4 linked regions of the Bombyx mori genome follow. The protein of the gene in region 1 binds, or shares a complex with, the protein of each later gene. Links are inferred from orthologs where the notes say so. Each region holds a gene or a part of one and is shown in the gene's direction. Other genes may lie near its edges.

What was found.
Region 2: protein lin-54 homolog (region 1) and Myb share a complex: the UniProt entries of both Drosophila melanogaster proteins name them as parts of the DREAM complex. The link is inferred for Bombyx mori from reciprocal best matches to the Drosophila melanogaster genes mip120 and Myb.
Region 3: protein lin-54 homolog (region 1) and histone deacetylase HDAC1 share a complex: the UniProt entries of both Drosophila melanogaster proteins name them as parts of the DREAM complex. The link is inferred for Bombyx mori from reciprocal best matches to the Drosophila melanogaster genes mip120 and HDAC1.
Region 4: protein lin-54 homolog (region 1) and transcription factor Dp-1 share a complex: the UniProt entries of both Drosophila melanogaster proteins name them as parts of the DREAM complex. The link is inferred for Bombyx mori from reciprocal best matches to the Drosophila melanogaster genes mip120 and Dp.

The regions. Positions count from the first base shown.
Region 1 is NC_085109.1:10,692,804-10,695,760, reverse strand, and holds the end of protein lin-54 homolog, read left to right. Parts: intron 1-261; coding exon 262-401; intron 402-994; coding exon 995-1,214; exon of another isoform or gene 1,215-1,262; intron 1,263-1,859; coding exon 1,860-1,871; 3' UTR 1,872-2,457; downstream 2,458-2,957. Other genes in the region: SET domain-containing protein SmydA-8, read left to right, coding at 2,686-2,729. UniProt on the Drosophila melanogaster protein: Component of the DREAM complex, a multiprotein complex that can both act as a transcription activator or repressor depending on the context. In follicle cells, the complex plays a central role in the site-specific DNA replication at the chorion loci.
Region 2 is NC_085134.1:9,635,498-9,639,788, reverse strand, and holds the start of Myb (Myb transcription factor), read left to right. Parts: upstream 1-1,491; coding exon 1,492-1,641; intron 1,642-3,306; coding exon 3,307-3,456; intron 3,457-4,291. UniProt on the Drosophila melanogaster protein: DNA-binding protein that specifically recognizes the sequence 5'-YAAC[GT]G-3'. Component of the DREAM complex, a multiprotein complex that can both act as a transcription activator or repressor depending on the context.
Region 3 is NC_085117.1:13,611,294-13,615,508, reverse strand, and holds the start of histone deacetylase HDAC1, read left to right. Parts: upstream 1-1,415; 5' UTR 1,416-1,630; coding exon 1,631-1,679; intron 1,680-2,046; coding exon 2,047-2,159; intron 2,160-2,234; coding exon 2,235-2,352; intron 2,353-3,146; coding exon 3,147-3,247; intron 3,248-3,972; coding exon 3,973-4,215. UniProt on the Drosophila melanogaster protein: Catalyzes the deacetylation of lysine residues on the N-terminal part of the core histones (H2A, H2B, H3 and H4).
Region 4 is NC_085110.1:8,925,314-8,929,571, forward strand, and holds the start of transcription factor Dp-1, read left to right. Parts: upstream 1-1,458; 5' UTR 1,459-1,817; coding exon 1,818-1,866; intron 1,867-2,149; coding exon 2,150-2,277; intron 2,278-2,835; coding exon 2,836-2,887; intron 2,888-4,258. UniProt on the Drosophila melanogaster protein: Component of the DREAM complex, a multiprotein complex that can both act as a transcription activator or repressor depending on the context. In follicle cells, the complex plays a central role in the site-specific DNA replication at the chorion loci.

The DNA.
Region 1 (2,957 bases):
ATATTATAATGTTGGAGTGATCGTCTGGGTTTCTTATAATAAAGATGCAGATTTTCATGGATAGTTTTTATTTTAACGGAGATACACTTTTTGTGTCAGTACTCATTGACGGCGCTAGAAGAAAAAGGGGCGAGCACACGAATGACGTTGACACATATTAGACGAGTGACAGCTGTCAGTTGGTATTAACATAAAGATGCGTTTAGAAATTATACAATTCTAACATATAATGACGACCTCATTTATGTGGTGTGTATGCAGGCGAAGATAGCGTGTACGGCGATGTGTAAGTGCGTGGGGTGTCGCAACGTGCAGGAGTTGGTGGAGCGGCGCCGCGACATGCGCCTCCGCACGCAGGACAGCGACTCGACCTTCCGCCCGGCCCTGCTGGGGCAGCCCAAGTCAGTATTCAATAGGCGAGGCACGCTAGCAACCATTTCAAGGAATATTTAACACCCTACTAATGTTTGAAGTGAAACTTCTAAAGTGACTTCCAACAAGGTTGCGTTAAACGTTTAACGCTACCATGAAATAGAAAGAGATAGAGCGAGAGTGAATGCGTGGCACTCGAACGCACGCGCGTAATATAACCTGTTACAGGCCAGCGCGAGCGTTAGCAACGAGTAGAGTCCAATATTTTAAAGAAGTAATAAATAAATAAAAACCGATAATTTTAAATATAATATAAATGTTGAAGATGTGGCATTTCTTATACACATCATTCCCTATTACAAGAGCAATCTGATTTAAGGATGAAAAATGAAGAAAACCACAATACTACACATCGAAAAAGAAGTTTCACTTCATTCACGTGCACCAAGTTTTTTTTTGCGTGTACTTCACACCAGTGACAGTCACAATGGAGCTTTGCCTGCTTTGCTTTTATCAGTAGAGTTCTGGTAAACATTCGTTTTGTATTCACAAGATAACAACTTACCCTTAACATTTGTTTCCTTGTCGCGATTGTTAGTGTTGAAACTAATGTGGCTTGCAGACATCCGTGCACGTTCATGACGATGGAGGTGATCGAGGCCGTGTGCCAGTGTCTGGTGGCCGCCGCCGTGGAGCGACGGGACGACTCTCCGCGTGACGCGCCCCGTGACTCGCCGCGTGACGCGCCCCGTGACGCGCTCGGAGACGTGCTTGAAGAGTTCGCGCGCTGTCTGCACGAGATCATCGGGGCTTCGCATCACGACTCCTTGCTGCTCGATGTGGTGAGTGCCACGTGACGCGGTCGTGACCGGAACATATACACTGTATAACTGGCAGAGGCGGATTATCCGTAAGGCAAATTAGGCACGTGCCTAGGGGCGTGTAGTTACAAGGGGAGCGCAAGCTCAGAATTTTTTAATAAATAAAGAAAATAACATCGCACAAGCATCGATATACTCGTATTTATACAATATTGCAGGTTTGTTTGTATTTCATTCGCGCATTAGCGTAAGTACAAGGGTCCTGGTCTACTAAAGTCTAGGGTTTGATGATACAACGTCATCGTAATTGCAAAAACAACTAGTTAAAACTTATAGTATTATAATAGCCATTTATGGCCGGTACAGTGGCGCCGATAAAGTGATTGCCTAGGGCGCTCTGGACTTTTAATCAGCCACTGATAACTGGTAGCTCCAGTAAATTAAGAAATTTCTTTGAGGTTTGTGAGCCGTTGAAACGATAGCTCACAATTATTATTATTATGTGTTACTAATCATTACAATAATTCTTCACTTAAAAAAAATTCCAGTCTACAAAAGTTATCCCTTTAGATATAGGGAGAAAGGAATCCTTCCTTAAACCGATATTAAAATAATAGATTACATAAACAAAACATATTATTTTAATACATATCGATTTTATCACAGGGACAAACGTGACAGATTTGAAATTTGCCAGCGCTGAAGATGAAAACATCTCTAAAACTCCGCAAAACCTTAGGTTAACTTTACTCAAATAACGTACTGTCATCCTACGGCTAATATCTTTTATTCAACCAGCCATTCTATTTATAAGAAAAATCAATTTGCTTGCTAAAATTTAGTTAACCAGTTAGATATTACGTACCAAATATACGTCTTGACATTTTTAAAGAAATTAAATGTAAATATTTTAATCTGACGAATACAGTAGTTTAATTTGGAATAAATAGAACCTTTTTACATGTAAACATTATATGAATAACATAAATGCAATATTAAATATAAAGTTTAGGTGTAGTGTAATTGCTTCCAAAAGACTGTTATAAATAAATACTTGACAAGTTTCGTAAACGTAGTTAATTGTGAATATTTGTATCTACTTTTTGAAAATGGATTCTTTTATAAATCAATTTAAGAGATTTTTATTGTTGTTTTTAAATGTAAATAATGTTGCTGTAAATAATATGTTTTACTAGTCTTAAGGATACCTTAGGAGGAAGGTAATTATAGTGTATAGTGGCGATAAATGGATTTTTACAGAAAATTTATTTTGTTTTATTTCATTTTTAGTTTGTAACAATGGTAACTTTACAATGATCCAGTTACTTAGATTTAGCGGGCGAAATATTTGGGTTAAAAATAGCACCGCTATAAATAAGGCGGACGGTAACTACACGTGGAACGTAACACTGCGTTCGCACGTTCTGAGTTATTGTAGGTCATTTCACCTAACGTTCATAATAAAGCGCTTTGTGGTGTCAAACAGTTCAATATGACCAACAAATATGAAGTTCGGCATTCAGAGCAACTGGGCAGGTCAGTTGCATTCAAATATTTTTGGTATTCAAGTGATGTTTTTTTTTTTAATCTCCAATATATTGTGTCAATTTTGATCCTTTTAGTGTTGAGTTTATTGTCACATCCTTTGCATAAATTGCTAAAGGATTTTTGAACATTACAAAAAAAAATTATGCTAAATTCACAGCAAAATAATTTTAAATTTATTTATAAATGTCAAGTTATTCAGTGTGCTCAGTTGTGTGC
Region 2 (4,291 bases), on another chromosome or scaffold:
GCTCACGGTCATGGTCGACTCAACAGTCTAATTACTTGGAGTAGACTGGTGTAGACGATTTGACCAATTGTGTTTTGTGCCCACCAGTTAAGGTAACGCATCACTGTATGTCGCTGTCAACAGTCCTTAAAGTCGTCGTGGCCTAAAGGATAAGATGTGCGGTGCATTCGTGTTGAGCGATGTATCGGTGTTCGAATCTCAGGCGGGTACCAATTTTTCTAATGAAATACGTACTCAACAAATGTTCACGATTGACTTCCACGGTGAAGGAATAACATCGTGTAATAAAAATCAAACCCGCAAAATTATAATTTGCGTAATTACTGGTGGTAGGACCTTTTGTGAGTCCACGCGGCTAGGTACCACCATCCCGCCTATTTCTGCGGTAATGCGTTTCGGATTGAAGGGGGGGCAGCCGTTGTAACTATTGTGAGACCTTAGAACTTATATCTCAAGGTGGGTGGCGCATTTACGTTGTAGATGTCTATGGGCTCCAGTAACCACTTAACACCAGGTGGGCTGTGAGCTCGTCCACCCATCTAAGCAATAAAAAAAAAACTTCGTTGGTTCACCAGTAAAGAAATACATTCTTAACTTCATATATCTATTAGATCAAAAATTGCATTTAGTAAGGCTTTATTTTTATCATTAGCTTTGTCTTCGTCTAGTTTTAAATAAGAATTGTTTTTACTTTGTAAGAAAATTTTTGAATTTATTCACACAACAATAAAAACTATATCATGCTAACCGAATCAAACGAGAAACTCACTGCTGTACCACGATATCTTTTGTCGGCAACAATCCGTCTACAAACCTGTATTTCATCTGGAATTATAATGAATCGTTTTTAGTTAGTTACAAAAATAGACCACACATCATACTTTTAAAAGCGTAATACACAGCAATAAGACACTCGTGGATGTGTCCACAAAAGTGAATATTCTTAGCTATACACATGAAGGTCCCTTAGTCCTTATCGCGATAGGCAGTGTTTCGGTAAGCTCTTTGTAAAATGATGTCTTCTGAGATAAGAAATGTTGTGTGCGTGCTTTATTCCGTATGATGCTACGTATGAAACTGGGTAGTTAAGGTTTGGTTTTGTATTTATTAGGTTAATATAGCGTGACACAAATTCTAAGTGAGAAAGGGATAACGACTAGTCCTTGAAGCGTATGTGCTAATTATTTATTAGGCCAGTCGCCAATCTGTGGAATTACTTTTATATTACACTTTACGGGTAGGTACCACCACCCCGCCTATTTCTGCCGTGAAGCTGTAATGCGTTTCGGTTTGAAGGGTGAGGCAGCCGTTGTAACAATTCTGAGATCTTAGAACTTATGCCCCAAGGTGGGTGGCGGATTTACGTTGTAGATGTCTATGGGATCCAGTAACCATTAACACCGGGTGGACTGTGAGCTCGTCCACCCATCTAAGCAATAAAAAAAAATATCGTCATTAAAATTTAATGTCACATTTGTCTATAGCTTCTGAATGTTCATTGTCAACAGAAAAAGCGGCTATGACAGCGAGACGAGCGAATATTCAGAGGACTCGACGGCGGCTTACGAGGATGTGCAGACTTCAACCAAAAGCACTGGGTCGAGGAAGAATATCAACAGGGGAAGGTGGAGTAAAGAGGAGGTAATGCTTAGAAATGTTCCAACGCAAAACTCAAATGTCCGTAAACGTCTTGTATCTAATAATAGAATGAAATGGCTTACGTTCTTGAACTTGAAATTCTTGCGTTAATGTTGGGGCTATGACCCAAATATAATTTGGAGGAATGATTTTTCGCGTTTTTGTTGCCCAACAGTCGTGGTGGTACTTCTTGGATACGGCGCGATTCGGTATTAGGCTTGGCTTTGGTTTTACCAAGCGGTTCATCAGTCCCTTGGAATCGATAACGGAACGCTAGGCTCTAGCAAATAGCATCACTTGGTCTGTTCAAATGTGGCCCAGTAAAGGAGATGAGAAGTTACAATAAATCTACAAAGCCTCATGGTTTTTAGAGTTTAAAGACGTCACAGGGTTAAAGCTTTCACATTCAGACACGAGATAAGATCCTCAATTGTAATGAATAACGGTTATCCCGTACTTAAAACTGCATCGAATGACTGCTTCAAATCAATCTATCTATCTATATGTATAAAAATGAATTGCTGTTCGTTAGTCTCGCTAAAACTCGAGAACGGCTGGACCGATTTGGCTAATTTTGGTCCTGAATTATTTGTGGAAGTCCAGAGAAGGTTTTAAAAGGTAGATAAATTTGAAAATGCTCGGAATTAAATAAAAATAACAATTTTGTTTTTCCTTTGATGTCTTCCCCGTCGGACGGATTCCTTTTGTTTGTTGTAAGTTTATTCTATATAAAAGTTTAGATCTTTTATTTATCGATTGAGACACTAAGAAGCTTCCCGGGTCGGCTAGTACCTACCCTTATAAATTACTTACACAATCTTATAAATGCTTGTTCATTTGAAATCATATGTTTATGCAAAACAATAACCTTTGCAGTCTGAAAACGGCTAATTTGAATTCCGAAAAACGAGTTTTACATAATACATCTCTGCACATAGGCTAGTTTGTTGTAATTTTTTTTCAAATGTAATGAGAGTCATTGAAACCAACATTTTCCACGTGCATTATCGCGTATTGAATAACCGGTTATGAAGTACAATGAAGGAACTACCTTACATAATTCCAGTCCAGTAAGAATTCGCAATCGCTGCGGACTAATTTTGTGTCGTAATTTTACAAAGGAATTCATCTCATGGGTTTTCTTTTATTGTTGACGAAAAAGTCTAGTTTCCGAACGTAAGTGGTAACTTCTGTCCAGTCACTGGGGAAATTGAGGGTCATAGATCGTTTGATGAGCTCACGATCCATCCGATGTGAAGGATCGAGCTTATGGGCACCATAGTACAATGTACACCCATGTTAACATGTTCTTCAAACTGGAACACATGATTGGTTTGCGGTAGAAATTGGCATAAGATAGGCGCAACTCAGCATAGTAACTAGGGAGCTCAGGTGTTAAGTCGGTAGTGTGGATTAAACAGACACAGCCCACTGAGTTTCTCGCCTGATCTTCTCAGTGGGTCGCGTTTCCGAACCGGTGCTAGATTCTGCGAAGCACAGTTCTTGTTAGGGTTCGTGTTAGCAACATCGTCAGGTTTGAGCCCCGTGAGCTCACCTACTAGTTAAGGTTGCGCTGAAATGGTCTTTCAAGACCTTCAGCTTAGCTAGGATAAAAAAAAAGTAGTGTCGATACAGACCTGAACTTAAGAATCTTGCTTTCTTTTTCAGGACAAGAAACTAAAAGCATATGTTAGGACTTACAAAGAGAATTGGGAGCGCATAGCGGCCGAGTTTCCTGACCGTTCCGACGTTCAGTGCCTTCAAAGATGGACGAAAGTCGTCAACCCTGAACTAGTCAAAGGCCCTTGGACCAAAGAGGTAAGTGTCAAGTTGTTTTGGCTTTTTTCGAAACTGCTATTAGGTATTATGGTATTGCCCACTGAGTTTCCCGCCGGATCTTCTCAGTGGGTCGCGATTCCGATCCGGTGGTAGATTCTTCGAAGTACTGCTCTTGTTATGCCTAGTGTTAGCAAATTCTCTCAGGTTGAGCCCGTGAGCTAGCTACTAGCGAATAGTTAGGGAACATATTATGGTTATATTAAACAATAATATAATAGTCTAGTCAACAAGTTCAAAAACGTGTTAAATAGACATAAAGCTCCTAAAAATATGTACGATAGCTCATTGGATGCGGAATGATGTCTACAAAAATGTTTTTTAAGGGCTTATTAGCACATAAAAAATTGCGATTGTTATAAACAAAATAAGATTTAAAAAAAAAGGAATTTGGTTTTTCCTTAATTATTTCTAAAATAATGATATTTAAGGAATTTTGAAAAAAAGATCCTGAAAGAGGAGGAAATTTCCAATAAAAAAGTCCCAACTTCCAGAATTCTATCTCTATTATTTATAAAAAAAAATTAACGCTGAAAATAGCGCTCCGCGAGGTCGTTACGCCATAGGCGCGCCGTCTAAAAAGCCGGTATATCACCTAAAATATTTTTTTTATAGTATTAAATAACAATTTAAAAATTTGAATAAATTATGGTGTAATCTAAACACTTGAACGAAAAAAACCTCGGTGAAAAAAAAATTTTATATCGATTTTTCAAAAATTTACACCATTGTTAATTAACTAACTTTTTTCCAATCTCTGTTTTTATAAATTACGGTATAAAAGTTACAATAATTCATCTATAAATTTTTCCCTTCG
Region 3 (4,215 bases), on another chromosome or scaffold:
CATCCTTAAGTTGAATTGAAGAATGAAAATTTTTAAGGTACAAATTCCTGAAACCTTTGCTACAAGTTCACGTGAACTAATTTCAGTGTTACAATATTAATATGATTTCTAGTTCCTAAGTTTCTTCTACCTTCCAAGGTGAATTCTACCATTTCCTTGGACATAATTAGGAATGTACGTAAGGAGTATAAAATTACGCACTTGCCGTAAACTGCAGCTTCTTCAATCTTTCAATTCCCAAAGATACATTTTGTTACAATTTTATTTAAAACTAGCTGACCTGGCAGACTTCGTAGTACCTCAATCGATCAATGAAAGAAAAAAGAAATTCACCCGACCGGGGACACATCAAAGGAAAAACAAAATTGTTATTTTTATTTAATTCCGAGCATTTTCATATTTATCTACCTTTTAAACCTTCTCTGGTCTTCCACAAATAATTCAAGACCAAAATTAGTCAAATCGGTTCAGCCGTTCTCGAGTTTTAGCGAGACTAAGTTAGAACAACAATTCATTTTTATATATATAGATAAATGAATTGCTAAAAAAATGAATATATATATATATATAAAGATTCAGCTGTGGTAGTTTTTTAGAATATCGTATCCTTTATGTTGACCGTGTATTTCTAATAACATAAGAGGCAACGTGCGGAATTCTACGAATGGTTCTATTAAATTTTATATAAAAAATGCAGTAGGTAAGTTTTGTTGTGTATTGTGGTGACCACACACCATCAAGTAGACCGTATGGTTGTCAGCATAAGTATATTGCCAATAAATTCAATGATGATGATGATGATGATGATATGAAAATTTTCCCTCAGTATAGACTTTTCCACTTGGAACTTGAACTTGCTACCTTGAACAATATAGATAAATATACTTGAGACCTTAGAAAGGTGGGTGGCGCATTTACGTTGTAGATGTCTATGGGCTCCAGTAACCACTTAAGACCAAGTGGGTTGTGAGCTCGTCCACCCATCTAAGCAATAAAAAAAATGCTACTAACAATAAAAATCTATTAATATTACCATCTATTTTTTTCCCCTGCCTATTCCCTGGGAGCCAAATAGAGAGACACACAATTGAAATTTAATCAAAGAACCATTTTTCTAACAGAATTTTATAACCTTGTATTTTAAAAGTGTTTGCTCTTCTCTTAAAAAAATAAGATAATGAGGGATATTCCGTGCCTGAACTAGGTAAACATTTCGCGGAAGAGCCGCAGTTGAGGAGCTAAAGAGCAGCATGCGAGCCGCAAGCCGATCGCTGGCCTAAGGGGCTGTTCTAGCTGCCAAGTAATTCATGCTTATGATTGTAATGCTACTACCTACTGTGAACTGTGGCTTCACTTGATTTCTATATTTAATCTACTAAAAATCATTCAATTTAATCAATTCATTCATTCGTTCATTGAATATCTGTAACTTTTAGGTCAGTCAACTTCACTGTAATGAAATTGTCGTACTCTGAAGTTGCATTTTGTTCATCTTTCAATTATTTTATGAAGTTTTTTTGTGTGGATTGTCAAATTAAAGCACAGCGGTGTGGTTTTTATTTCTCTTTAACATTTTTAAGTATATTGTAATAATTTTATTAAAAAGTAACCGTTGAAGAAATAATTAAAAATGTCTATGCAACCGCACAGTAAGAAAAGAGTGTGTTACTATTATGACAGTAAGTAAAATAAAGTTTTACCCGCCACGGATCTCCATTACATCGCTAGTAACTTAAGAATTAGTTTTTGTATTATAAATAATTAATATGCGTAGTATTCATATTTTAAATACAAATTTCCACACGGCCTAGCTCTTTTAAGAACTTCAGAGATTTTAAAGCTTGTCTTAGGATTTTTATGACATTGTTAACTCAGTTCATTGTTTCATTTTACGACGTCTGTACAGCGTTCCGCGTTCCTATTGGGTACACGGACTTGCTCGTATTACGATGTACGAGGTACAGACGGCTAAATATGAAGCCGTAAAATGATTTAAGTAACATGTTAATAAAAAGTTGAAAATAATGCGTGTTATTTTTATTAAAGGCGATATTGGAAACTACTATTACGGACAAGGGCATCCAATGAAACCTCACCGCATACGTATGACCCACAATTTACTCCTCAACTATGGACTCTATCGAAAAATGGAGATTTATGTGAGTACTGAAATTACCTTTTAAGTGTAAGTTCTTCAATGATTTGAGATTTTATAATTATATATTTTTAAACAGAGGCCTCACAAAGCCACAGCTGATGAAATGACAAAATTCCATTCAGATGATTACATTAGATTCCTGCGTTCTATTCGACCTGACAATGTTTCTGAGTACAACAAACAAATGCAGAGATGTAAGTTATTACTAATTATTATCAATATTATTTAAAAAAAGTATTAATTATTCATAAATGCTTTAATGAAAATGTATTACCCTTGAAGACTTACCTGTTAAAGCTAATATAACAGTAGAGTTACTTATTTAGTGTGTTATTTTATATTAAACTATATTTTTTCAGTGTATAATATTATAATAGATTTGTCCCACAGTTTCAACTATGTTCAGCTTACAATAATGTGAATCTACTACAGTGGAATCTTACTATATTCATAATTTGTATAAAAAGATGATGAAAATAATAGATTGAATACAGCATATTTTGTGTAAAATTGTGGAAAATTCCTTTGATTCACTGCTATGACACTGAAAAAAATTCCTAAATTCAAATCTTTGACTATACCACAGCATCTAGTTGTGTCAGTCAATTGTCACACTGCTTGATAAGTATAGATATAACATACCAAAATTATAAAGAAAAAAAACTACTTTCCTGTATGAGCACTCTCCTTGTCTGCAGCCTGTTTAGTTGAAACCAATGTATCTGCTGTTTATTGCAGGAAGAAAACCTTTATAATGTACATATTTATTTAAAGAGTATGGTGAAAATGGTGTACAATCCTATTGGTTTTTTGTTAAAGTTCCTATAGTTCAAAGCATCAACCAAATTATTTTTGACCTATCCCTCAATCTACTGATGGGTAATATCCTATAAACTACATACCTTTATTAGTGCCTGATCACATTCAGGGATGATATGGAAAATATTCAACTTATTGAATGTGACTAATTTTAATATACATTTTGCAGTTAATGTAGGTGAAGATTGTCCTGTTTTTGATGGCCTGTATGAATTTTGTCAGTTGTCTGCTGGGGGTTCAGTTGCAGCAGCTGTAAAACTGAATAAGCAGGTAATTAGTCTTATTTTTTTATTTATTTTATTTTGTTAAAACAAGTTTTTCAGTTTAATTAGTGGCGATGAAAACTGTAATTTATTTAAAAAATCAGAAATAATATAACAGCAATTGTATACATGACATTAAACAATAAAAGTAGTTTTAATTACATCCTCTACTTACATATGCCAATGAGAAAGTATTATTTTCATTTGTTAAAATTATTATAATTTTACCTTTTTAGTGTTTTAACTTTAAAATGGTTAAAGACAGATGAGCCCCAACCTGATATTAACTGATACTGTGTCAGAGATGAATAGAACACTTAAATTGTGTTTATATTGATTTTAAAACAATAAAACAATAGATTTTTCTTATCTTGTGAGATTTCTAATTTGATTCTGCAAGTTTTCTTAATTTTATAATTATATAGTTATATAGGTTTCATTTATAGTTATTTATAACTATAAAATTAAAACATGTTTGTACTGATTTTATTATTGTTATAATTTTTTTTTTCCTTACACTATAAGTTAGATTAGTTTTCGTTATCGTGTTGTTTTGTCGTAATTGTAAGGAACGTTGATATACAAATTCAGCACTTTATAGTTTTGTCGTGCGCACATAACTTATGTTGCAAGCCAGATTTTGTTTTTTTTTTATTTGTGTTTTTTATGTATCTTTAGCTTGTGATGTGTATTGTGAGCCTAATAAAAAATAAAAAAAATAAATTGTTTTAGGCCTCAGAAATATGCATAAACTGGGGTGGTGGCCTCCATCATGCAAAGAAGTCTGAAGCGTCAGGTTTCTGTTATGTTAATGACATTGTTCTTGGCATATTGGAGTTGCTGAAATACCATCAAAGAGTACTATATATTGACATAGATGTGCATCATGGTGATGGTGTTGAAGAAGCTTTCTACACCACGGACAGAGTAATGACCGTTTCCTTTCATAAATATGGAGAATATTTTCCTGGAACA
Region 4 (4,258 bases), on another chromosome or scaffold:
CATGGGAAATTTCAGTCTAAAAAAATTTAATTTTAACTGTTGATTTATTTATATTTAAAAAGAAAAGTATCTCTGTTTGATCAAATCGACATGTACTAATGTTTCTCAACCTCTAAAGTTCTTATAGTCTCATATTTATTACCTGCATTGGGCATTCAACCTAAGGGGCTAACGGTATCTCAATCTATTACAATAACAGTTTGAGCTATGGTTCGATAGCTGTTGGTTTTAGGAAAAACGAGTATGTGAGTTTGAGATAGTGTTTTTTAAGAAGTATCGAGTTGATGATGTTTATTTAATAATACATCCCCGCAGACTATTGAGATTCAACCTATAATCATATTTGTAGACATTAAATAGTCATGGCGCCGCAATTCCAAGGAGTATCCCTGCAATCTTCCGAGAGTATCGGGATACTTGGGGTCAACATTTCGAGCGATGTCCAGTTTCGGAGTCATTTGGAAGGCAAAGCCAAGTTGGCGTCCAAAATGCTGGGAGTCTTCAATAGAGCGAAGCGGTACTTCATGCCTGAACAAAGGCTTTTGCTTTATAAAGCACAAGTCCGGCCTCGCGTGAAGTACTGCTCCCATCTCTGGGCCGGGGCTCCAAAATACCAGCTTCTGCCATTTGACTCCATACAGAGGATGGCCGTTCGGATTGTCGATAATCCCATTCTCACGGATCGTTTGGAACCTCTGGGTCTACGGAGGGACTTCGGTTCCCTCTGTATTTTGTACCGTATATTCCATGAGGAGTGCTCTGAGGAATTGTTCGAGATGATACTATCTGGAGCCACTGCGGTCATCCACAGTGCGTTTCCAGAGGTCTTTTTTGCTACGCACTATCCGGCTATGGAATGAGCTTCCCTCCACGATGTTTCCCCGTGCGCTATGACATGTACGTCTTCAAACGAGGCTTGTGGAGAGTATTAAGCGGTAGGCAGCGGCTTGGCTCTGCCCCTGGCATTGCTGAAGTCCATCCACTCACCATCAGGTGGGCCGTATGCTCGTCTGCCAACAAGGGCCGGAAAAAAATTATTGTAATCTCATAAATGCTTTTTTATGGTAGCTTAGTTTTTATATATACACAAGGTTCTACAATAAATACTGGAAGAACGAGTAGTGATATTGTTTCATAATCGTAAAAATATCAGAAATGATACTATACCACTAAAAAAAAAGTAAGTGACCATAACATTGTAGAAAAATAACGTAACAACGTGAAGAAACTGAATCCGAACAGACTATTATGAACAAGAAAGACATGGGGCCATGCATGAAGTTTAATAATTAAATTAACCTCATGCATGGCGCACTTCGGAAAACATTTTTAAATTCTTGCGATGGCAAGGACATTAAATGCGTACATCTACACCTAAAAACAAAATGGCGATTGAGAATTGGCGCCTTTTTGTTTTTTTTTCACATCTAGCAACTATTGAATAGTACCACGTGAACTACCTCATCCAATCAGCTGGTAAATCCAAAAATCCCGCCTCTTGCATCGTTTCCTTCTCGTCCCGCGCTGCGTTGGTGATGGTGCTTGGATTCGCGCATTTAATATACTTTAATTAAATGTTAAAAGTTTATCAATGTTACATATATTAATAGAAACTTTAAACTGTAAAAGGTTCATTTATCGGTTCAAAAATTGGCTATAGTTTTGGTTCTAACCCATATTTTTGTCGCCATTTTGACCTGTGATTTTGGTCATACGAATTGAGTAGGTATTATTTAATTTGTTTCGTCATCAACAATTGTCCTACGTTGTTCTTATGAAACATAAATGGACGTCCAAATTCAAGGAGTGTGGAGAAAATGTCCCAAACTAATAGTACAATAAATTACCTTATCCATGATGCTAACGGTTAGTAGAGGTGCTACTTTAGTTTACGTGACACTTGTTTTTCCTATCGGATTTAAGACTTTGTATTGCAAACAAAGCCTAGATCAATTGGACCAAACTCAAGACTAGTAGCTTAGCTTTAGTTATTATCTTCGACGCCTTTTATTCTGCCGAAATAAACATCATCACAGCGTTTGTTTATTACGGAGATATTTTTTGTTTCAATCAGCTGATGGCACCGACGCTTCAGTAAGTCTTTAATTTAGATTATAAATACATAAAGACTCGATGATATGTCCTGCAGGACTTCCTCAAGTGGTGAAAGTGCTGGAAACTACAAGTAAACCACTGATTGCTCAAATCGAAGCAGAACCGAAAGAGAGTCCAGTTAAAATTGTTACTGTATCACCTGTTCCGGTCAAATGTGCAAAGGTATGATTATTCGCAATTTTTTTATATATGAAACCACTATATGTTTTACATATATTATTATAAACATTATTTATTTACGCTTCATTAGACTAAACTTTTAGTTAGAGTAGTAATGTATATGTTGAATAAACTTTTAATAAACAGAACGAACGAAATGACATGAAATATAATAATAATTACTTTCCTTTGTCACTGTGGTTAACCTAAGCTTTTGGGGTTCTAATATAATTTAGATTTAGTTGGGTGAACTGAGCCTACCTATGCCCTTATGCCCTACTGTAATTTGATTTGAATTTGAAAAATATTCTACAACTAATGAGGACTCCCTAGTTCTTGTATTTTTTTATTACTAGATAGGTGGATGAGCTCATGATCCACCTGGTCTAAAATGGTTACTGGAGCTTATGGACATCTACAATGTAATTGCCTCCATCCACCACGAGACTAGTTCTAAAGTCTCAGTACTTACATCTTACATAGGTCAATAGGTACCAAACCAGAATTAGCAATTTGATTATCATTTACCATTCAGTTTTATATGAGTATACTCTTTAACAGATACCTGTTCCAGCCAGTTTTGCAAGATTTGGAATTGTTCAATACAAACAAAGTAAGTTTTCAGCATGACAGGGTTTGTTGACAGAAAGTAGAAAGTAACCAAGAATCCTATTTAATATATAACTGTATATTTTATTGCTTAGATGGCTGGATGAGCTCATGGCTCACCCGGTGTTAAGTGGTTACCGGAGACATCAACAGTCAATGCCGCCGTCAACCTTGAGACACAAGTTCTAAAATGTCAGTTTTTACAGTATAATAACATATACTCCACCCTTCAAAGTGAAATGCATCTGCTTCACAGCAGAAATAGGCATGGTGTAATAGCAAATAATTTAGCTTCTTGCATACATTTGAGACTTCAACCTCATTTCTCAATGTAATCATACATGTAATTTAGTGCTTTGCGAATTGTTAGGTACATCTACATCCAAAAAAATTTAATAAAAATAAAGTGAGCAAGTAGTAATGAATGTCAAATATATACAAATTTAGGAAGTATTTTGTTACTAAAATTTTGCACACTATATTAATCTTAGTTCTGGGTGTTTTAGTATCACTGTTTACAAGTATCAATACTTCTGCTATGGAACATAATCTAATTTTTAATACATACATACACTATAAAAAGAACATCTTGATTGACTATCCAATATTAAAATAATCCACATGATGGTGGTAATTAATGTTAGATAAGCTGATTTATGAACAAACTTATATAATTTGAATTAGTCCATCAATTCACTTCATTATACATTTCAAAATTATGGTGAGAAATTATGCCTACAATATAAACATACATATAAATCAATAAGTATCACCCCTCTTAGAGATCTGAAGTTGTAATATCAATTGTTTTATATAAGGGCTGTCCGGCCCATCAAACCAGAACTCTCGACTGCTTTGTGGCAGAAATAGCCAAAATAGTGATATCTATTTACTCAAGTGGTCTTAAGATACTTCCCACTAACAGATATTACACAATGTCTTAAGACACAATAAGATCCAAATGATTAATGGAGGTTTTGAACCTTGTCATAGCCACATCACTTGATATAAATTCATCAGGTGTCTTACGATTCCGATTTCGCAGTGGAGATTTTCCTGTTGAGTCTGTAATTATTGTCACCACTGTCTAACCTTGTTCTTAAAGGCTGTTTTGCAATAGTCAAAGATCACGTTTACTAGTCTCTATACAGTAAAAGTTTATTATTCGCGGGGTTGAAGCATAATAAAAATATGCCGCGAATACAGTAACCGTGAATAGGGAAGGGTAATTTGCGTATATGGAGGTTATAGGGGACTCTTCGCCTCGAACTCGACTGAACGACGGGGGTGCCACACCACCGAACATCCCCCGGTGTGATAGTTCCCTGCCGGAGATCTACTTTGCACAGTGTGCAGTCAGGTGGGAACTCCGACT